3 linked regions of the Styela clava genome follow. Each later gene encodes a partner of the first gene's protein in a complex. Links are inferred from orthologs where the notes say so. Each region holds a gene or a part of one and is shown in the gene's direction. Other genes may lie near its edges.

Region 1 (7,957 bases):
AATCGCATGTTTGGATATTCAGCAAACATCGTTCTTTTGTGCATTTGCATTTTATGTGAGGGCACACTGTTCTTGGAATTTTCGCTTGCGTATAATCGTACTTCTCAAAAACTGTATTGTTCGTATTATTTGTTTCATTTTCAAAGATAAATAGAATTAAAATCTAGGCCTATTCAATAGTGCCATAGCTAAATTCCAAGAATATTACCAACGTATAAAGATCATCGAATGGTTGCGATCATTCTTCTATAGGTTTTCGATTTCGAATTAAAACCATAACCATAACCATAAACTACAAATATTAACATTAATGGTTCGGATCTATGGAAAGCTTTTCGTTGTAATAGTTGGTTCCATTACATTTGCACCCACGTACATTTGCACCCGTATTTTGAACCCACGACAGTTGCACCTGCATACTATTGCACCTATGGACATTTATTTTACGGATATTTGAACCCATAATAACCCTAACCCATGGATGTTAGCACACGCATATAGATTGAACCCGCAGATATACCGATGCAAATGTATGGGTTCAAATGAACGTGGGTGCAAATGGACGGTCATCTAATAGTAGTATGTCACATTGCTAGTGTTAATGGAATATGTTTTTTTGGATGATAGTTGAATCAGTCCAATCTACGTCAGTCTAATCTCAGTCTGCGTTTCTTTCCTTCGAAGAACATTTCATACCTATTTCAATGTCTTCAAATATGTTGCTTTCCTGAACGATCATCAAATTGTAAAACTAGCGAATAGTCGCGAATAATTTTAATAGCGAGGATTACTGCATTACTAAATATGAGTTTCTTTTGAGTGCTGTTAACGAAATGACAACAATTTCACAACAATATAATGGAAGAATGAGAAAAACAACAGACTTAATAAATACATTACCTTTGTTAAAGTTTAAAAATTGTGGCTTGGTACCCCTGGTAGTTGTAAACAACTTCATCGCGTGTGTTGCGGACACACTGTCGGAGTAAATGTTGCCATACAGATGGAAGGGAGACTATCATACTAAGTTGTAATCTTACCCCGAATGAACAACAGGCGCCAGCACTGAATGGTATTTGAGAATGTTCTGTCATATTGCTGGTTGAGAGTATGGCGATTTCGCCCACGCGGAATTCCAACAATGTAAGATTAATGTATTTATAACAACGTTGGAAAGTACCTCAACAAGTAAAAAATAAAAAACAGGTAAAGATAATATAGCTCAAGTGAAGCAGAAACGAAATTACAATGCACCAAATTCGCGTGAGATATTAGTTTTGTGCTTTTTTAAATTAAAAAAAAAAAAAAAAATTGTTTTTAAACATGGGGGTATGATATAAAATTTAAACATCTAAAAACTGCATGATGTTAAGTTTTAGTGGAGTAGATATTTGCTATCAATTAGGTTAGAACAAGAGAAACGTTTATAATTCTGGCGCGCGTTGCCATAATTTGTCGTAATGTACTAATTCATCCAATACAATGAAACGTGTATTCAAATTAAAACTAGTTATAATATTATCAATTAGTTTTGCGGAAATTATTCATACCGTTCAAAATGTATTATTTATAAATTACCATATGTAACTACATGGGTATAGATACAAAATATGGGGTTCGGCTTTGTCGAGATATTGGAGGTTTGTGAGTTGAAACATTGATAATATTCATGTCATGATACAGAACTTCTGTTGTTTAGTGAAAATTTACACATAAGTTTTTGGATATAATAAATTTTATCGGAAAAAACCTACCCGCCTAATTAGACCACATTATACAACTGTACCATAGCGAGGCTAATTATATCATTCTGATCAAATTATTAAAAATTATCTGAATATGAATAAATTACCACGCTCTCCCGAAGAATTGCCCGTTCCTTGGTATTCCTTAAGATACTATACCATATTGATAAAGAAATTCAGGTCTAATAGTATAACAGTAAATTTATTAAATATTTTTATAGGCTAAACGCAAATTCTGTTCATTCTTTATATATATGATCTTATTGATTTTTTTGCCATTCTACGGAAAACTGAATCAAACACTTAGACTGCAAGACGACTTCTCAAATTATTTTTGTAAACTATAATTGAAGCTAGAATGATATGAAATTTGATGGCTGATGCTATACCTGAATGTGGATATTGCTCAGGTCATAAATATGATTTTTATATTTATAAATCGCAAATCCTCTATATGAAACAAAATAATATACGTGATAAATCATGAGAAACATATATCATTTTTGGGTGATGTGGTTATTTCACGCGGATGCTTAACAGACGAATATCCGTACCAGTTAATATAATTTTCTGATAGTAGATAATATTGGACCATTAATCGACCTAACTACCTTAACGATGAAAATTTTCTATGCATTTGATCTTTATTTTACTTCCCAGCTCAAGATCGACATTTTCTCTCGAACTCTTGAAAGTTAATGAGTCAGAATCCACATACTATGACTACAACATTTTCGCCCAAATTGTTCAAGTTCAAAACATTTTTGCAGCCGGAATTTATAAATATATCCTACAACACTAATGGAATATACAAATTTGGTTGTCGGTAAAGGATTTTCTGGATTCCGTTTGGGTATTATCTTTAGGGTTTTGCTCAATTTACTTCAATAGATAAAACCCATATTTTTGAATGAGCTAACCAGTTTCATCAACAAAATTTATAGATGCTTATATATATATAAGTTCAAAAACGTTGAAGAAATTTCAGACAGAGCCAAGTTAAAAGTAACCTGAAACAACGCATATTGAATTATCGTAGAACCATAGGTCTTTGTAAAGTTCCTAAATATATTGGGAGTTGAAACATTTTGCAACGCACCATTATAATTAGTATATATATATAATTTAATTATAAAATAGATGATAGAGTTGATTTTTGAGAAGTTTCAAATTTTGGTTTTCAGCCTCTCAGTACTAACATTCAATACTGAAATATACTAATACTAAACTTAATCAGCGTTTCCATAAAACGTGTCACTCCATACTCCTGAATATCATCTCTCACGTTTTTTTATATTCAGAAAACATCTTACTTTTGTACATTTGTAAAAAATTCTTCTTTGGGAATTTTCCCTAGCATAAAGATAATCGTATTTTTTGAGAACTGAATTGTTTGCAGTATTTGATTTATTTTCAAAAAAAAAAAATCGAATTAAAAACTATTGGAGTAACTTGATTTTCAATACGCAACAATATCATCTTGACTGAGTGCAAATAAATTAATGTGGTTGCGATTGTTTACCTTTTCGTTTTCAATCCCAAATTGAACTTGAGACATCTTGTAGTTTCCCACTGTATCAGTACTATATTGAATTGATAATTCAAATTTTTTCCTGAATGAGATTAGAATCATCGAATCTAAGAACATTCCATGGCAATTTCGTGAATTTACATAATAAAATATGTAGCATACTAAAATATGTGTTTTTTCTTGAACAATGGGACAACTGCAATGTAAGAATCGCGGCTGATCGAGAATATTTGCAAATGATTTCTAAATGGGGACGGTGAGGTTTATTACAAAAATTACTAAACAAAGATTTTATTTTGAACTTAATATGAGTTTTTTCTGTTTTCTGTTAAAAAAATCACATTCGATTATCACTTAGTGTAACTGACAAATAACAAAGCGCCCGTAAAAATTATATTGGTATCGCTAAGCTTAAAAGTCAAAGACAATTTGGTCGATATTTGTTGAATAAGTTTATAAATTGCCGGAGTCAATGTCACCACACATATAGATAGAAGAATATCATACCTACTAAGTTTTAATTGATAATTTAAAAATAGGATCTTACTTCAAAAAATTGGCATTGGTACTGCATAGTATTTGAGAATATTCCGCCATATTGTTGTAGGCTATCTAGGTATGACGATTCCGCCCACGCGGAATGTAGGATCAATGTAGGCTATTGATAAAAAAAAAACATTGGAAAGTACCTAGAAAACAAGTAAAAAACGTAGAATGCGACAAGAAAAGCGAAAACTAAATAACCTGATATATCTTGAACAGTTACGGAAGGTGGATCAGTATTGGGTTTTATGCTTTTTTAACTTCAAAAACAGCTAGTTTTTTGGGGTATTACTGAAATTATTTGATACTTGAAATAATCAGGTTAAAACAAGGGAAAAGGCCAATCGACTACTTCACATATTAGTTTCGCAAATCATAATTGAACATTATGAAACTTGGTATCTGAATGTCTTAAAACACCTGAATGTCTTAAAACGCAAAAATTGAGTTTTATCATTTATAAATACACATCCTTTATGTAATATAAATTTTGTAGCGAAGATTTATATTTTCTATTTTCTGGTGTTGTTGATTTGTCTTGTTGGTTATTTTCCGAACAGTTTATATTCAACCCAGTTATCTATGTGGTCTTACTAGTGAACTTACTACTGAATTATATTAACACCATTGGCCAACCTGTCAAGCGTTGGGAATAAGCTTGTCACCGCAGCTCTGATCGCTCTGCATGGGTTCGCAGGTTCGAATCCCGTAGGGGTTGATTATGTGAGAGGAGATTGCTGGACTACTCGCTGACGTATTGTGGTTCACGTGATGGCTGGTCGGTTCAGCTTCCTTCACCATCAAGTCCATGCATCTGGAACAAATAACTGGCTAACAAACTAATCTCATACCCGACATGGACTGGTAACCAGATAGAAGGCCGTGATTTGCTCTATGATTAAACTGTCTTATCGGCTTTCTACTCCACCGAGATAAATATGTAACTAAATCCTAACGATATGATATTAACTCGATGATTCGATCGCCGGATTTGTTGCTGCAGACTCGGTACCACTCAACGTGCTGTTTTTCGATTCTTCCATAGTTTACTGAGATTCTTGACTGTGTCCTTATTGCTGTATTGTGAGTCGACGCAGCTCTCGTCTTCTTCTTCCCACCAGCGTTCAGTACAGTGTGAGTGGTGCAGTGTTTGCAACGTGCCGTACCGTATCCTTCGACATTATTCAGTCAGTCTGTGCTGCGCACCAAACCGTGTGGTCGCTGATCGGGCGTAAAAGGTGGACCTGTAGGCCGTAGGGTAGGCTACGTTGTCGCTTTTATTGCTCACTGGCTGACTGGTGTTGTTGACACTGATATAGCCTAATTTGAATTAGTTGTGCACAGTAAATTAAACTGTACTGGTACCAAGATATTCTAACTGTTCCACCGTTCAGCGATAAAAAGGATGACAAAGCAGACACCTCTAACATGCAGTGGCCATACTCGCCCTGTCGTGGACTTGGCTTTCAGCGATATAACTGAAGATGGCTATTTCTTGATCAGCGCATGCAAGGGTGGGTTCATATTAGTTAATAAGCAGTTGGGTTAATTTGCAATGCTTAAAGCACTAACTGAGCAAGGGTTGAATAAAATGAAAAATTTATCTTTTATTCTATATTCTGGTAAGATTGTAATATTGTTACTGTATTATCCAGATGGAAAGCCGATGTTGCGACAAGGACATACAGGAGATTGGGTTGGTACATTCCAGGGACATCATGGTGCAATATGGGCTGCTACTTTGAATAAAGATGCAACAAAAGCAGCAACTGGAGCAGCTGATTTCACTGCGTATGATGCTAACGGATTATATTTTTTTATATATTTGAAATCTTTGACAAGAACATACTCCCATATAAAAATACAGAAGCATGTATTCCATATAGACTTATTTTTAAAAGGTGTTAAATATAGTCTTATAAAACGATGTAGATGAAAAAGATCATCATATGAATTCAGATATGTATGTGATATTTTAGAACACTTAAGCATCCACCACCAAAGTTTGTTCAAAGCACAATCTTGCAGTTTTATTCTAAGATGAGGCAAATGCAGCAATGCAGAGTTAAATTAGGTCTAGTTGACTTAAGTAGAACTTAAGCTAAACATAACTCAATAATCAATTTTGTGTAGGAACATCTGCAATGATACTTTTTACAACAAGATCACATTATACTGATGGGTCATAACTCAATGATTCTAATCCGTAGCGAACTAAATTCGGGCAATTGATGATCTATCAGAAATGATTCAAATTTAAATTTTGAATTCATTGACTGGCTGTTTGTTTCTGATTAATTAGACAAACATTGTTTTCTATTATCTGTTAATCATTTGTTTTTTTATACAGTAAACTCTGGAATGCTGTCACTGGTGATGTTGACGCATCATTTCCACATAAACATATTGTCAAAGCTGTATCATTTTCTCCAGATGGATCAAGGTTATTAACAGGAGGTCAAGAAAAAACACTTCGTTGCTTCAATATTGAGAAAACAGATGCAGGTTGTAAATATTGGTTGAATACCTTCATTTAAAATATCTAGTAATTCATTTAAAATAAATAGTGATATGCCCTCACGAAAGCATGACAGTTTTCAACAGTATGTCAGATGAAATTACTTACGTTCGAAAGTAAAATAATACTCAAAACCTCTAGAAATTAATATAAATTAGTAGTTTCTATATTTGTTATTCAGTGAATTTAAAACAGGTATGTGGTAGCCTACTATTTTGTTGTAGAAATACTAGTTTATATGATTTCTTAAATATTATTAATCAAGAAAAAGAATTGTACTTTCAGGTCCTTATAGGGATGAAAAATATCTGAGGAATATTTCATGTAGATTGATAGCATATTTTAATTTTTAAGTCTTATTTAATCCAAACTTTAAAAGTGAAAAAAAAACTACCCATTCAACATTTGAAAATGCTTGTTTTAAATTGTTAGATCCAGAGGAAATAGGGAAACATGAGGGAAGTATAAAGAAAACGTTATGGATTGATGAAAAGATTGTTTTAAGTGCGTCAGAGGATAAAACAATAAGGTTTGTTGTATTTTAGCACCATTAAATGGGTTATTTGATGCAATATAGGTAGAATTTAGTTTCTGTTGAGGGGGTCATTTTTTTGTATTTTACTTTTGAGCTATTGGAGTATCATCCAATGTAGGGGTGTGCAATATTTTTGTCGATGGGCCATATAACCAACTTCACACATCTAGATGGGCCTCACGAAAAAAAGAATTCATGCATGCAACGAAATAAAAAATTCTTCTAATGCAAATTTTTTTTTCAACATTTTAGTGGGGCACTTGAAATATGTTTGTGAACATCAGCTTTACTTTGGATTTGTTTATGTAAATTTTTATTTTACTTTGGGCATTCTCATAACTGCAACAAAGTAAAAAAAACTAATATTTTGCAGGAAGTGGGATACATCAACCAATAGTGAAGTTCAACAAGTTAAACTAGATTCAACAGTAACAGATATTGAACTGTCGCAAGATAAAACAACACTTCTTGTCACCAATAATAAAACCATATCTATATTCGATGTCGAAAGGTTTGTTTCCTTCTATACTCTTGTTATCTTTTGTTATATACTATTTTTATATATATGTTTTGGCCAAATTGGTGGCATCAATATTGTGTGGACGATTTCAGTACCAGATATAACCAATTTTAAAACGTTATAATGGGAATTTAATAAAGTTCTGTACAACAAAACTTGTCATTAAAGCTTGTCATGTTTGAATTAATCATTAGTTAATTAATATTGCAATATTTCTCTTATTTTTTTGTATTGAATCGAGTATTATTACATCCTTATTTGATTGTTAACATGTCTTGTTTTGTTTGTTGTATTGTCCTGTTGTTATTATTAAGATCACAGTTCAGTTGGTTGACTTCATAATATCATTAATAGTTTCAAAAGTTTCTTTCCCAGGCGCTATTCAATTAATGGTACTCCTGAAGTATGCGCACCAAGATGTCGCACAACCTGAACCCTAACCTGATACACAACCTGAGTTCAAGTTGTGCGCCATCTTGGTGCGAATACTTCAGGAGGTCCCAAATAATAGTGGTAAATTTAGTCCATATATTGCTGGGTCAAGTTTGACTCAGTATTATGAATA
Region 2 (7,401 bases), on another chromosome or scaffold:
ACATATAGACCAAATCGTAACAAATCGGTCGACAAAATCGTAACAATGAGATAATGCGAGCATAGGTATTTTAGCGTAGCGAAGTACATTGAATTGAAAATATGTTTTAACCGTACAAAACCAAAGTTTTGAAATAAAAATACGCCATCCTTCTGTAATTCTACTTTAAAACTTTTACCCTTTTCTATAACCTCTTCTTCTATTTCAATGTCTCGTCTCATTTTAGATCATATACATGTAAATGTTTTTTTTACTTATATCATTAATTTTAGCATTGTGTATAGTATTTTTCTGAATATTTTCACTTTATCAGGGTGCCAAATCTTTTAAACTTCCAGTTAGTAAGATGGGGAGATAATTTATCAATAACCCTCATGAGTTCACCCTAATTTCAGAGTTTTACCCCCATTTACTATTAAAAATATGAAAACAAAGTTAATTTTTCTCAAAATTCAAACAAGTATTTTTGTGGAAATCAAATCACTATATAATGACGTTTTCTTTAACTATGGGAATTCAAATTTTATTTAAATTTTTAATCTTATTGTGTTCAACTCGCGATTACGTCCCCCATAAAAAGAACATTACCTAATACATAATAAAGCGACACCAAAAAAATGAAAATTACCATACTCGCCTGATAAGACGACCCCTCAACATCAGGTCAAAAATTTGAGTCTAGAAAAGCGACTTATTTGCCGGGAAATACGGTAGATGTTAATTTGATTCGCTTCGAAGTTCTGAAACTTACATTCCTGCTCTTGTGTCGTTTCCCCTAGATCGGTTCTACTCAACTATTTTTACTTCAAGATACAAAACTTCAAAATTTGCGGAGTCCAGACTTTTTAGAAAATTTATTTTACAGTAAGCCTGAAAACTGCCTTTAACTTCGAGGTCAGTGAGTTAACGAAAAAGCAATTCATGTTAAATTGAGTAACCGCAAAATATATATATGAAGACATCTTTGAAAATAGTAGTTCCCCGGCTGGTGATTATTCGCTAACCTGGTCAGTTTATTATGGCATCACAGTTTTCCTCGTATATAGTTTGGTGCAAGTATGAGAAATGATGAAACTAACTCTAAAACTATAAATAAAAGGTATTTAATAAAAGAAAACTTCCGCATATCCAACTTTCATGGCGCCAATACTCCAAAAGAAAGAAGCAAGTGCGGTCCGAAACAAATATTCAAAGGATCCGGATCTGGACCGCGGTCCACCAGTTGAGTAGCCCTGCCCTAGTAGATATTAAATAGCCTATCACGACCTGGAGCATAAAATTTCTTTGAACTGAACTTTAAGTACCATACAACTCTTATCACACACACGATTTTGTTTTGAAATAATGAAACCCGACAGAGAAATTATCACCAACACGCGCTATATTTTCTGTCCGGTCGGTAAGCAAATACACAAGTTGTTAGTTCATAAATTTTCTGTTAAAGAGCCTTGCTCGAATATAAGTTCCACCTCAGAGCTTCACTCTCAATTTCAAGAAACCTCATCTTTTTTGGGAATAGAATGGCTATAATTATCTTCACCTACCGGGTTTAACTTAAGCTCTTGTGTATATAAATGTTCAACATTCTTCGAAAAATTATTTTGAAAATAAAAAACAATATTTATTTCCCGCAGCTTGAGTTTTTTTCGTGTGTGCCAAGGAACGCTGATAGTATCAGGTATATGAATAACAAACGCATAAATAGACTTTTAGCCTAATTGTTGACAATGTATAGTTCTCCGCATCTAGCAATATGCATCAGCCTTGAGGAAATGAATAATAAACTATGGCCTATCAATCGTTAAAATATATAATGTTTGTTATTGTTCTTCACACTTCCTACCAGTTGTAATTGCTTTGTTTTTGAAGGATGCTTATAGAAGTTAAATACCCATCAACGTACCAATTACTATTGATACAACAGCTCCCGCAACTCTCCGAAGCAGACTTTTGTCACCCACCGAAATGATGATTGGTCTCGGTCGGGCTGTCACTTGTTGATGTCAAAAATTCATCCCGGGTGTGAAGCGACTGCAATTCCAAGTTGTTGGCGAATTCTGGCACGAACAAAGAAATCGTCAAATTACACATAAAGAGCGTTTGATAAGTATTGCTCTCACAATTTTGAATGAGAAATGTCCGCAAATGTTGACAACAAATTTAATTCAAAAATTTTTCAGTGAGGGTATGAATGTACTTGTCCATTTCAAACATTAAATAATGACGAAAATGTGATGTAATGAATTTCGTTACAATTTTGAAACTAACTGCATTCATTGTTGGGATATGGTAATGCATCTATGAAGTCTTGCCATGTTATGTAAAAAGAGTATTTTATTCGAACCTGATATTGTTCGATTTCCTCTTCTAATTCGTTCATACCAAACTGGAACAGACAAAACACAATAAACGAAGCAAACAGATGCCAATATGAATAACATAACAGCCACAGCACTGATTGCGATAACAATATCGCTCCTGTGAAAAAAAGTATGAATATCAGTCTGAAGTAAAGTTGACTGTAATTAGTCTAAAATATATCATTATCCAAATGTACATTATATAACTCGCAAAGTTAGGTAACGAGTTAAGATTAAAAAAAATACATCAGTTTGTTTTTAAATGAATCACACCAATCAGGTATGTTCTAAATCTAAACAAATATTTTTTTAAATTATTTCAGAGTGTGTCATTAACGTTTACGTTTTCGAATATTCAGAGCCAAATGTCATCTAATATTTATTCTGGGTTTTCTTTACACGCTTGTGGTGTAAATTGCAAATTTGCTTACCAAATTCATAATTAGGTTAGATTCGATTTTGATTATGCCATTGACCATCGAATCTGATTTATGGGTTCTCTGAAACCAATCAGGAATACTTGTGAAGAATTTGATTTAGTTAAACGGCCCAATTCTTCGAAACAGTTCAGAATATTAGCACTCACGAAACCAAGTCCTTTCTTTTGCAACAATAATAGTAAGATATCGATTCTGAAGTGGACGAGGAACAACATTTCATCGTATTCTTTTCACATTTAACCTCGACCATGTAACCAAACTCGTCAACGTATGGACAGACTAAGTGATCATCATATTCAAGTATGCCATCAGTAGAATATTCGAAATAACCTAAAAGAGGACGAATTGACGCAACTCAATAAAGAAAATGCCAGCTAGCTTGCTTTGAATATCGATGACGAATTTTAATTGATTTAATAGTGGAAATTGTTTCATGCATACAATTTGAAATACTTCTACTTAATCTAAGATTAAGTGTTTCAAACGTGTCTATTACAATTGACTTTCTGAAGGCTTTTCTGCCAAAGAAATTAAAAACAAACTTTCGAAATTCAGTACTGAAAAGCAACATGTAAATATTTACACAGCAACAAACCTGGAAAATTCCACCTCAATCATCAAGAAAACTCAAAGATTTTGGTGGTTGGAGTATTGTACACGTCAGCTTTTTAATTTCTAAGTTTCAATCAATATTTGTGGACTTTTTGGTAAATCTCTTTGTTATCAGAAACTTTGCTGCGCAGAAAAATGTGTTTTTTCTAGCCTTGGTTTTCATATGCAAAATACTCTATAAAAATACTGACCGCTGCCCTCCAATATAAAGTTTTCAGTGCCCTCCATGACTGTTGCTGTTTATTCATCATCTCACAGAGTAATGGATGCAAAAGTAAGACAACTTCCATTTAAAAGCAAATTGAAATTTGATGTTAATATCAGGCTGCGGGTTTGTTATTTGTGTTCCATTTACGGTTACACGTGTTTTGGAGAGTGCCTATCTAAATTTGGCGGTATGTTTACACTAACCTCTCGTAGAACGACAACATTGGTATGATAACATGCTTTATTTGTTTTTCGTTTGTATGATTTCTACAGCAAATGTTCGTTATACACGATTAATGGGTAAAATATGAACTCGGGGCAGCATATAACAATTTTTGAATCGCACTAAGCTACATAATGTGTTCAGCTTGCAAATTGTGAGCAAATTTGCAACGTTTCAAGTGCATTATAAATAGCGTAGTCGATTCACAGCAACGACGGCATTAAATCTGCCTATTCTGTATTTATTTATTATTCAAGTATTTCATTCCTATATATATGCTTCTACATTCCTTTTTATCCATTCCGGACATTGTCGCGAAAACTTTCACCTGGTACGTGCGACAAGCAAATTAATTCAGGCAATGATATATAGGATTTACATATAGGAGGATAGGATTTACATATTTATCTCGGGGGAGAGGAAAGCCGATAAGCCGGCTTATCTATATGGCGAACCACGGCCTCTCGTCCGGTTACCATTCCAAGTCGGGTATGGGAATAGTTATATTGTTTTGTTTTCGTAAGCATGGACTTGGTGGTGGAGGAAGCCGTAACCGACCAGCGGTTACGTGAACCACCCAACGACGGCGAGGAGTCCAGCAATCCTCTCGCACATAACCATCTCTGCATGGGATTCGAACCTGCGAACCCACTCAGAGTAATTAGAGGTGCGGTGGCGAGCGTATTCCTAACGCTTAGCCCGTTGAGCCACACCGCCGCGCAAAAAAGACCAAATGTAAGAAAAAAATGGACGTCGTGATTCACTGCAAAATAAATATGATATCTTGGAGGATATTATTTGCATTGAAACTATTTATCGTGATATCTCATTTGCTGCTCCTTGACCTTCAACATCAATGCTTCATCATTCCCCCAAGTTTGTCAAACCATTGGTCAAAGTTATTGTGCGGTGTTGTCTTGCAGGCTTCGTACTGTCGTATATGCTACTCGTTCTCGAGTTTCATCTTTTTTGAAACTTTCTGCCATTATTCACGGAATATAGTTGCTCGATGGCATCTCTGATAAGCGTTACAGGCGAAAGTTTGCACGAAGAAGAAATTGATGACGCTGTCCCTGGAGCAACACCTTTCTTCAAAGTTGATTTTGATGAAATCGAAAATGGAGAAATTGTATCAATGGTCAAACTTCCTAGCAATCCCCAAGAATATTTAAGAGGGGTTATGTGAGTTTTTAGCGTTTTGTGACCATTGGGCTATTATGCAGCCATGTTCTACTTTAATGTGTATATTATTTCAATATTTTTAATATTATTACACTTTTAATATTATTTAGAAAGTAAAAATATAATTCCATTGTATGGCTTTTGCTAAATTCATTGTTTTACAGGCAACAAGCCAGGAATACACCAAATGTTGTTGTTGCAAAAATAGATCCAAGTAAAATTAAACCAAAACTGAAGCCAGCGATACCTTCAAAATATGTAAGTTCCTCAACCATGATTTATTATAATTTGTTATAATTAAACCATGTCCAGAATTTTTTTAATTCTTAATTAGTAAATTTGAAAGAATTTTTTTGCATTGGCCAAATGATATTGCAGTTGTAATTGTTAATGTTAGACTTATTGAAATGTCAGTAGGGCACACTTTACAGATCGAGCGACATTGTCTCGTTCCAGAGAATCCCATTTTGTCGATGAACATACAGCCTTCCCTTCGGGGACGTCTGGACATTGTTGTCCCTCAAAATCTGTAAAAATACATTAAAATGAAGTTGCATAATGAAATAAGAAGCGCATTCATGTGTTTATGAGATGGTTTAGGGATTTTTTCAATGTTTATCCACCTGTCTTTTTATGGTTTTTACGATTTTTTCAATTGTTACCCAGCTAAGTGAACAAGTAACTGAAGTAAGATCTGATTTGATCCCAAGTAAAGAATGGCAGGAACAACAATTAGTAGATTTCGCAACAACAAGGGAAGAATATATCAGACATCTTGCCAAATTGAAATCTATCAGTCGTCAAACAAAAAAGAGGCCAAAACTGCCAATTTATCCATTGGTGAGAAAACATTGTTTGTAAAATTTCATTATACATTTAATATACTATACTAAAGTGTCACACTTTATTAGCCAAACTTATGCCTTGTTTGATGATTTTACTTGGTATCAATTTTAAGTTTAGATTCATTTAAAGAAAATCTGACCATTTGAATAACTGTTTGATGTATAGTGGACAAAATGTCGTGACTTCGCTATCCTACTTACTGATTTTTCATATCTGGTAAAACGATGTTGGTGACTTGGGCACAGCTGCAATCAATGTTTACTCAACTCTTCAAAAAAAAAAACCATTGGTTGTTTTATTTGTCTCTCAACCACAAATTTTCACTCAGAATATTTCTCAACTGAATGGTTTTGATCTCAGTCTGGAGCGTACTTGATAATATGTCGTGCATTGTTCATCATATTATATAGATCTTGCATGGGCAAACTACGGCCCGCGGGCTAAATCTGGCTCGCTGGGTAATTCAATCTGGCTTGCCTGAAACTGAAATTTCATGATAAGTTAAAAATAGCTCAAGGAATTTGTTGAGATTGCGTTCAAATTGAGTTTTGACACAATGATTATTGTTTTCCACTTTTACTTTTGTAACACTGTAAATATTGTTCATAAAATGTAACTTTAAGTCACACTTACATGGCCCACCAGTCAAGGTGGGCACAATTTTTGGCCCCCGGTCCAAAAACCTTGCCCACTCCTGATGTAGATCATTATATATTTTATTTTCTGTATTATTATTTGATATATTCAGCCTCCTTGGGAAGATGAAGAAAGCTGGAAATTTCTGTGTTTTGGAAGAAATCTAAAACGAAAGAAACAGGAAACTGATGAAGACAATAATGAGACCACGTTATCTCAAGGTCTTTTTTTCATATAATCGGCCTATAATACAATATGATTGTTAACTCTGAGATATAAATAAGATTTCACATTTTTTCGAGAAAGAGAAAGTCAATAAGACAGACACCTTAATCTGATAGCAAATCACCATCTTTTATTTGATTTTAAGTCTGAGCCAGGTATAGGAATAGGTAACCAACTCCCAGATGCATGAATGGAACTCACCTATGTTTTGCATTACGCTACCCGCAATGAGAACAATCCTTTCATTAAGATCACCCAATAAAAGATTTGAACATGTGGAGTTTATTCAGAATGATCGTATGCAGTCCCATTATTCAAATAGTTGTCACACCTTCATTCAATTTAATTAGTCTTTCAAATGTATTTGGCACTAATTGTATATTTTTCAGTTTTTAGAATGAATCTGTTAAGGATTCTAGTAGGCCACTTATTTTCTAATTTTCCTGGTTTATATTTTGCTATTTATAAACCCACAGGTGCTCATACAAAAGAGTCAGATGAAGATGACAATCTACAGAATGCCTTAATTGCTGGAGGACGAACAACTGCTGATATACTTGCTGATCAAATTAATAGCGAAGAAGATAGGACAGTTGATTTATCCACTCTTGAGGTTGGTTTAAACATCATTCATATTGGGGATTATAGGCCACAACTGAACCCAGTGTTG
Region 3 (7,369 bases), on another chromosome or scaffold:
ACAAAAGTATTTAGGTTAGGAATTCCGTATTGTTGTTACCATCCTCAACGTTTCATGTATGCAGGAATCCACTTCAATGTTTTCCCATAGTTACTACTTACTATACGTTTAATGAATGTCATGCTCAAATTTTAATTGCCTGGCTTGCGTTCTGAATTCATAGGCTGACCTATTTGCATAAGCTTGTTGCCTGTGTAGTAATGTTTTGAATATATCTCTGAACCAAGGCAAAAGCAAATCAGAGTTGTACTTAAACTTATTATAGACAATCTAACAACATCGAAACGACCTACATCAAAGTTTAAAATACAGCAATATGTTTGCATGTAACTGAATGTGTGTTTACGAAATCTCGAAATGAATTGATGTTGTTTATCGTATTCAACGCATCTTTACATGTACCCTACATTAACAGCTGTAGATACTATCAAAGTAACGATCTCTTGTTGTTATAATCATCCTTCTTACAAAATCTATATCATAATAGACCATTTACTACTAATACCAATTAACGTCACTTTCTGCAGGATAATCGACGACCGATGACGACACAAAGCACTATGGTGACATCAACGTCACAAGTGTGATTCGCAAAGAAACGGATCCAGCAAAGCTGAGTACAGCGAGGGGGTGACAGGGACTCATATTGAAAATAGGTTGTCTGACACAGCTTATTTGAACTAGGAAATCGTACGCTTAAATCTACAATACGGTGAAAAAATGGGATGAAATGCAAGAAAAATTAGATCGAGTGAAAGCTAACATCACACAATGTACTAGCTCCCGATTGAACTTGTTTTGGTGGCCCCCAAAATTACAGTTTCGAGTCCGTTCATCATTTTACATATCATTTTTAATATCATACTTCAAAATTTAAACAATGGAGTGAGATGATAGGTTCATTTAGGCTCTCTCGTGTTAAGAGCAAATTAAATTTTATATATATTTATAGAATTATAAATAAAAATACATCATTACTCTCTCTATACGTTCTTATCCATCATTTATTATTTTTACAAGAACTAGTATTTAAAATTTCTTTTTTTTATAGAAAGATATTAGTTTGCAACTGTCGATGGCAATTGGCATATACCGTAGATATAATTTTTCTAATATTGAATGCTTTTTATGTTCAAAACTTTTCACGACAAATAATACTATATAGTGGTTGTATCAACACATTATTACAATTTAGATTAATCATTCATCGTGTCTGTAAATTATTTGTTCACTTTTCTATTAATAAAATGATTTCCACATATACATTTCGTTTTATTTATAATTTTCGACTTGGATTATTCTGACGCAGAGTGTTAATCAGTGGGCTGGGAGATGAGAACGTTTTTGTTAATTTCTAAAAAATGATGAAATACAATAACTGTCGTGAAGATTGTGCTGAGTAATATTTTTGATGATTTTTCTCACAATGCGCTATGATGACAACAACATCAGAAGTTATTCGTATTACTCAGTTGGTCAAAAAGCGTCTTAGAAGTTTGACTCTAAAACCACCCTTTTCATTTGGCGGATTGCTTGTCCTGTCTAAACCGGAAACTGCCGTGTTCCAATGAAAATAAAAATATATCAAAATTTTGGATAAAATATTAAATCTCATTGAATTTATAGAAAATTTAGGAATGCACAAAAGTAATAGCCTTCTGCCCAAAAATCATTAAACTCACCAAAAACTAAATTTCATCCTTTGATACAAATAACCCATTTCGACTGGCCCTTTATTTCAGCAATGACATTAATGTCATTGATTGAAGCGTGTTATCGGATACGATCTTCGGTTACAAATGCCGGAGTTGTGCATCATGTTGTATATTGTCGTGATTTCAGTGAAACTGAACTTAAAAAACATTGATCATATGATTTTTTTCTTTTATGTTTATTGGCCATTTGTAAAACTTAGCAATAAAATAGCAATTATCCATATAACAGGAGTTTGCAAAATGCAGTAAAAGCAATAAACAATAGGAAAAATAGAATCGTTTATACTCACGATTTCACGAATACCTACCGAGAATGGAAAGTAAATCTGATAACCACAAGATGTCGTTAAAGTGCAGGGAGATGCATGAAGCACAACACAAACATGTGCGCGGTGCGGGAGCAAGCCGCTTATTCGTGTTATCGTGTATGCTGTATGGTGTGCCGGAACATTATCAGCTATGTACCGGTAGGATCTGTATTCAATAAAAATAGTTTCAGTGCCATCCAGGGCGGCTTTTCCAGGCTCTGGTCTACTCGAAAAAATTATAGAAAAATTTCTAAGCCAGTAGGCAGTAGATGCACAGACCGGGTCTCATCTCTCATGTAGTTTCGTACCTAACATACTTCTAGTGAGCGTAGCATGACAATGTTTTCACGTATCAATCCTAACCCCCACCTGACTACACCATCCAAAAATTACATCAACACGACGTCACAGTGACGTAATAGAGCCCTTCAAACTATTCGAACTACCATCCAAGACACGCAAAAGAGCACCCAAAATCAAACAGTTATTTTTCTCGTGGCAACGATTCCAATAGGAGAGAGATCGATAACGTCAGTCAGCTCTTTATCGTCGGCGCCAATTCCATTTCGGGCGATTGTACGTATTTTGGCAAGCTCTATGACGTGATTGTGATGTCATAGTGCTGTAGTGACGTAATTTTTGTATGGCGTAGTCAGATGGGGCCTAGGATTGACATATCAAAAAATTGTTATGCTACGCCCACCAGAAGTACGTTAGGTACGAAACTACACGAGACCCCAAATTTGGTTTGCAGCCAAATTCTATATATAACATTACAGGATACCAGTATACTGGTATACGATTGATTAGAAATATCTCAAATCATGCACCCATGGTTCACTATTTATTTAAACTGTCAGACTGTTTTATTTTTTTCATCCAGTCCGGCAGACATCCAGCAGAGAAGGTGCTAAAAATAGATATTCTGATATTGGAATTTCATAACAATGTGCCCGTTTTATTTCAGTAAAAGTCATTCTTTTTACCAAATTATAAAACGCAAGAATGGCTTCAAAACAGAATTTGGATTTTCAATATCTTAATCTTTTGCGAATAATACAACAAATTCACGAGAAAAAGCAGCAGTTACAAACATGTATGGAGAATGGATTTTTTTGTATGTCAAAGGCACGATATGTCATGGGAATGAAACAAGTATCTAAACTGAATTATGCTTCTGTAATGAGTGCAAATGTAACTGTTAATGTTGAACAAAACGATGATGAGGTTTCTAAATTTGAAGTTCAACATAACAAAAATGAAAGAAAAGTATCAGAAAAACAAAACAAAACCAAAAGTGGTGATCAAAAAGAAGCAATTTTAAGGAAAAGAAATGTAGGCAATAGCAGTTCTGAAGACAAAAACATTGAAACGGATGATACTGATCACGTCCAGTCTTCTATTAATGAATTGCCATCTGCTGTTTCTGATATTGATATCAGCGAAGAAGATAAAATTGCAACCCCAACTGATCCATTAAATTGGTTTGGTGTGCTTGTTCCACAAAGTCTTCGGCAATGCCAAATTGAATTTCGAAAAGCCTCCATAATCATTGGTGATATAAGCACACTGCAATCTCAATTAAAATTGGCTAAAACAAAAATTAAAGAGTTAAATTCTGAGATTTCAATCAAGTGAAATATTATTATATTTATATTTATTGTGAATGATCATTGCTTATGTCTCGTGAATCAAATTTAAAGCACCCATTGAGAGATTTCATTTAGTGTACCACACTTCTATTGTTTGATAAAAACTTGCAATAATTTCAATTTTCATTTGCAATATTTGTTTGTTATGGGAAGCTCTTTTTAGGTATTTTCCTGTTTTGGTGTGGTAATATCTATACTACAAATTGAATTTTTATATAAAAAATGTTGTTGTATATACCCGGAGTACACATTTCCAATGAGCATATGTGCCAAAGTGTAATGTTGAAATAATGTTGTTGCTGCCAAGCCACTTTCGAATATGTATTGGTAATATGAATGAACTTCTGAAGTTAAAATTTGGTATGTTGGGCTTCAAAGAAGAAATAGCGATGCGCATCACTAAATCTAAATATTTATCTGCGAATCGAGTCTGTAGCTGAGATGCAGTTGTTTCCATAAAGAATTACCTCCTACCAAACCATATGCGGGTCATGTTCGTGCTCATGGTGTGCCGCATTAAACATGTATGCCCTGTGTTATTTACCCCTGGTATAAGACTATTCATTATTGCAAAGAATCATATTTAATACTCAAGATTTTCATTTTTTCTACTATGTAACAACATCTAATCAAAGAATTTTTGTATGTTAGATGTTTATGGTAAAATATTTAGTATAAATATGGTTGTTCTTCCATCGTCACCAGTGTGGTATCAGTCTCGAGGTATAGATACCTCACATAATGGAATTCTTGCATTTGGATCGAGAAATTTGGTATTTTTATTGGATTTGACACAAAAGAGAGCTGAAATTTATGGTAGGATTATTCATGGGATTTTTTATTTGTTTTCCATGGGATTTTTAAGATGTGGTTACAGTTTTTTCTAGTTCCGTAATTTGCATTTTGTGGAGAAAAATTATGGTTTGAATCAGTATTTTCCCCCTTTGTGTAACGTAATGAATCTGAACAAAATTTTTATTTTGTCGGTCTATTAAAAAATTATTAGATTTCAAATTCTAGATTGATCTGAATTTCACTGGTATACCTAACTATACTGTTATTGATTTATAGAATTTTTGTACAGTAATTTTTTATTTGTTTGTTATACATCACTACTCCAGGGTTCGGTTAGCAATGAGCATAAGTCAGATGTTGTATATTGTGAACCTGTCTATGTGCTAATTACAATGTTATTATGGCCAAATATATCATTGTTTTAGGTATCCTGAGTGGCCATACTGATAAAGTTACAACATGTTCTTTCTGTCCTACCATTGGTCAAGACCAATTACTTCGGATTTCATCTGGAGCTGATGACTGTTCCGTTAAAGTATGGGATGTTCGACAAAAATTAATGCTTCATGAACAATCTGCTCATGGAAGCAATAAAATCATATCAGTGCATTGGTCTCCAGGTATTCTATTGATGATTTCGTATTTTTTTCAGCTTGCCCCTGTCATAAAATGCTGTGAAATGCTTTATTTGTGATAGCTAACTACTTTTACTTCCACAGTGTATGTCTGCTTGACGCTAGTTTCTTTTTATCAGTGACATGTTTTTCAATAACTGCAGAAATGAACGTCAATCCTTTTGAAATTCGAAAATTTTTTAAAAATTTGAATTTTCCTATTTATTTAGTTCTTGATTTTTCTCATTTTTTATTCATTTTTGTAGTAAATCCATCCCTGATACTTTCTGGTGATGAGAAAGGATTTGTTGTCTGTTGGAATTTGGATAAAGGCAGCACAGACCGGTTTTATCCAGATGGAAGCAGTCAGATGCATCTTGGATGTCTTACTTGTTCACCTCACAATGAAAACATTGTTGCAATTGGTTATAAATCAGGAGCAGTCTCATTGATGGACATAAGAAGAAATGGAACTGTATGTATTACATGTTTGTTTTCCAAAAAATTTATTTTAGTTATATTTCCACTGTACAAACAGGTTATCAAGAAACTGAGAGGTCACACTAATGAAGTACATTCGATTGTATGGTCGCCATTTCAAGATGAGAATTTAGTGTTCTCAAGTAAAGGGCCGAAGGATGAAGAGGAGATTGCAGCAAATGGGTATACATAATTATCAATTTAATGGATTTTACTACTGACCTTACATACTGAAATATGTTTTGACGGATCCTAAAGTAGTTAACATAACTTTCTCTGATTCCTTTTCAACTTCCAGGGGACCCATCTCAACTGGTCCCCTCAAAACGGTGAACCTAAAAAAATTCGCATGAAAGCCAACCCTACAAATTGTACGCTCTTATCATGTAAACTTAGCATGGTTAGAGTTGTAACTGTTAGGTTACATAAGCCTAATGTCATTTCGTTTGGGTGTGATCAGAGTTGTGCCTTGTGCATATGCATAATTTTCAGTGCGATCAGAGTTGTGCGCATATATGCAGACCCTTCATTTTGGCAACTATTTTTTGAGTTTTAAACTCGTCTTGTATTCGAGAATATACGATAACCATTTTCGTACCCAATGGACCAATTTGTCATATGTTCATTCAATGTGATGGCGCCTCTCAGGATAAACAAAGAAAATTCTATAATCAGTTGAAATTTGACATGTCATACTTTATGTATATTCGTATCTGAATGAAACTTTTTGATTAGCAAGACGCAAGATGATAACGGAAAAATTTTGAAGAGTAAGAAATACTATCTACCGTAAGTATCGTGATGAATTTGAGGATTCGTCAACTGAATTGTCAGTTGAATTGAATTGTGCAACTTACATAGTAGAACTATAATGCCCTTTTCATCAAATCTTCGAATAAACTTTCCTATTACCATTTATTAATTTTGTTGAATTCGATATGATTCAATTTAATTGAGATGGAATCTTATTTTTTAGTGGATATGAGGGTGTTATTGCGACTGGTAGTAAAGATAAGACTATCAAACTATGGAGTATAGGTGAAGGAAAATGTAGAAGAACATTGAAGATTCCTAACACAGTCAAAAAGGGTAAATATAGTTGTGGATAGCACTTATCCAAACATGGATCTTAGTTACATTGACCGGTAATCCCGAAGTATGTGAATCAAGATGGCAGACACCGGAACGTAGTATGTGTACCAGGTTAGGGTTAGGTCATAATTTTAGGTACAAATACTATTGGAGTCACTTGGCTAGTCCCCGAACTCGTAATAGAACTGAAATAAGGAAAATTGGAATAAAATTATGGCCTAACCCTAACCTGGTACACATACTACGATCTGGTGTCCGCCATCTTGATTCACATACTTCGGGAGTAGTACCCATTAACCCAACCAGACTTACTTTATGAATGAATCATGTTCGAGATAGGCTCCCTCTTTTGAGTGAGTGCACATGACCATGCTTTGATCAAACAATTGTATATAAATAGGTGACAAATATCACCAAGTAAAATAGTTTTACTCCGAGTTATACAACCCAAACAGCGAGCGTACCTAACTATATTTTTTAAAACATACTTTATTTTTTTTAAGTTTTTAAACAGGCTTCCAATTAAAATAAATGCCTAGATCATTACTGGTTTGAGTTTTGTTGATATTGCCATAATAATAAATTGAATTAACTTTTCAGGCCGCAAAACAAATGAGGATGTTGCACGATTATATTCTGCCATACATTGGCCGCAAAATTCAAAGACCAAATTTATATCATCTGGGTACAATGGAGACTTAGTAGTTTGGGAT

What was found.
Region 2: serine-threonine kinase receptor-associated protein-like (region 1) and gem-associated protein 2-like share a complex: the UniProt entries of both Homo sapiens proteins name them as parts of the SMN-Sm complex. The link is inferred for Styela clava from reciprocal best matches to the Homo sapiens genes STRAP and GEMIN2.
Region 3: serine-threonine kinase receptor-associated protein-like (region 1) and gem-associated protein 5-like share a complex: the UniProt entries of both Homo sapiens proteins name them as parts of the SMN-Sm complex. The link is inferred for Styela clava from reciprocal best matches to the Homo sapiens genes STRAP and GEMIN5.

What each region holds. Positions count from the first base shown.
Region 1 is NC_135251.1:26,654,945-26,662,901, forward strand, and holds the start of serine-threonine kinase receptor-associated protein-like, read left to right. Parts: upstream 1-4,888; 5' UTR 4,889-5,224; coding exon 5,225-5,333; intron 5,334-5,474; coding exon 5,475-5,610; intron 5,611-6,169; coding exon 6,170-6,324; intron 6,325-6,769; coding exon 6,770-6,866; intron 6,867-7,245; coding exon 7,246-7,383; intron 7,384-7,957. UniProt on the Homo sapiens protein: The SMN complex catalyzes the assembly of small nuclear ribonucleoproteins (snRNPs), the building blocks of the spliceosome, and thereby plays an important role in the splicing of cellular pre-mRNAs.
Region 2 is NC_135258.1:19,320,326-19,327,726, forward strand, and holds the start of gem-associated protein 2-like, read left to right. Parts: upstream 1-4,381; 5' UTR 4,382-4,851; coding exon 4,852-5,024; intron 5,025-5,188; coding exon 5,189-5,282; intron 5,283-5,690; coding exon 5,691-5,864; intron 5,865-6,618; coding exon 6,619-6,727; intron 6,728-7,207; coding exon 7,208-7,344; intron 7,345-7,401. Other genes in the region: uncharacterized protein LOC120339927, read right to left, coding at 1,954-2,057, 2,345-2,478, 2,947-3,130, 3,604-3,640. UniProt on the Homo sapiens protein: The SMN complex catalyzes the assembly of small nuclear ribonucleoproteins (snRNPs), the building blocks of the spliceosome, and thereby plays an important role in the splicing of cellular pre-mRNAs.
Region 3 is NC_135263.1:13,920,434-13,927,802, reverse strand, and holds the start of gem-associated protein 5-like, read left to right. Parts: upstream 1-4,319; coding exon 4,320-4,491; intron 4,492-4,895; coding exon 4,896-5,090; intron 5,091-5,350; coding exon 5,351-5,559; intron 5,560-5,622; coding exon 5,623-5,747; intron 5,748-6,540; coding exon 6,541-6,653; intron 6,654-7,256; coding exon 7,257-7,369. Other genes in the region: vacuolar ATPase assembly protein VMA22-like, read left to right, coding at 3,029-3,661. UniProt on the Homo sapiens protein: The SMN complex catalyzes the assembly of small nuclear ribonucleoproteins (snRNPs), the building blocks of the spliceosome, and thereby plays an important role in the splicing of cellular pre-mRNAs.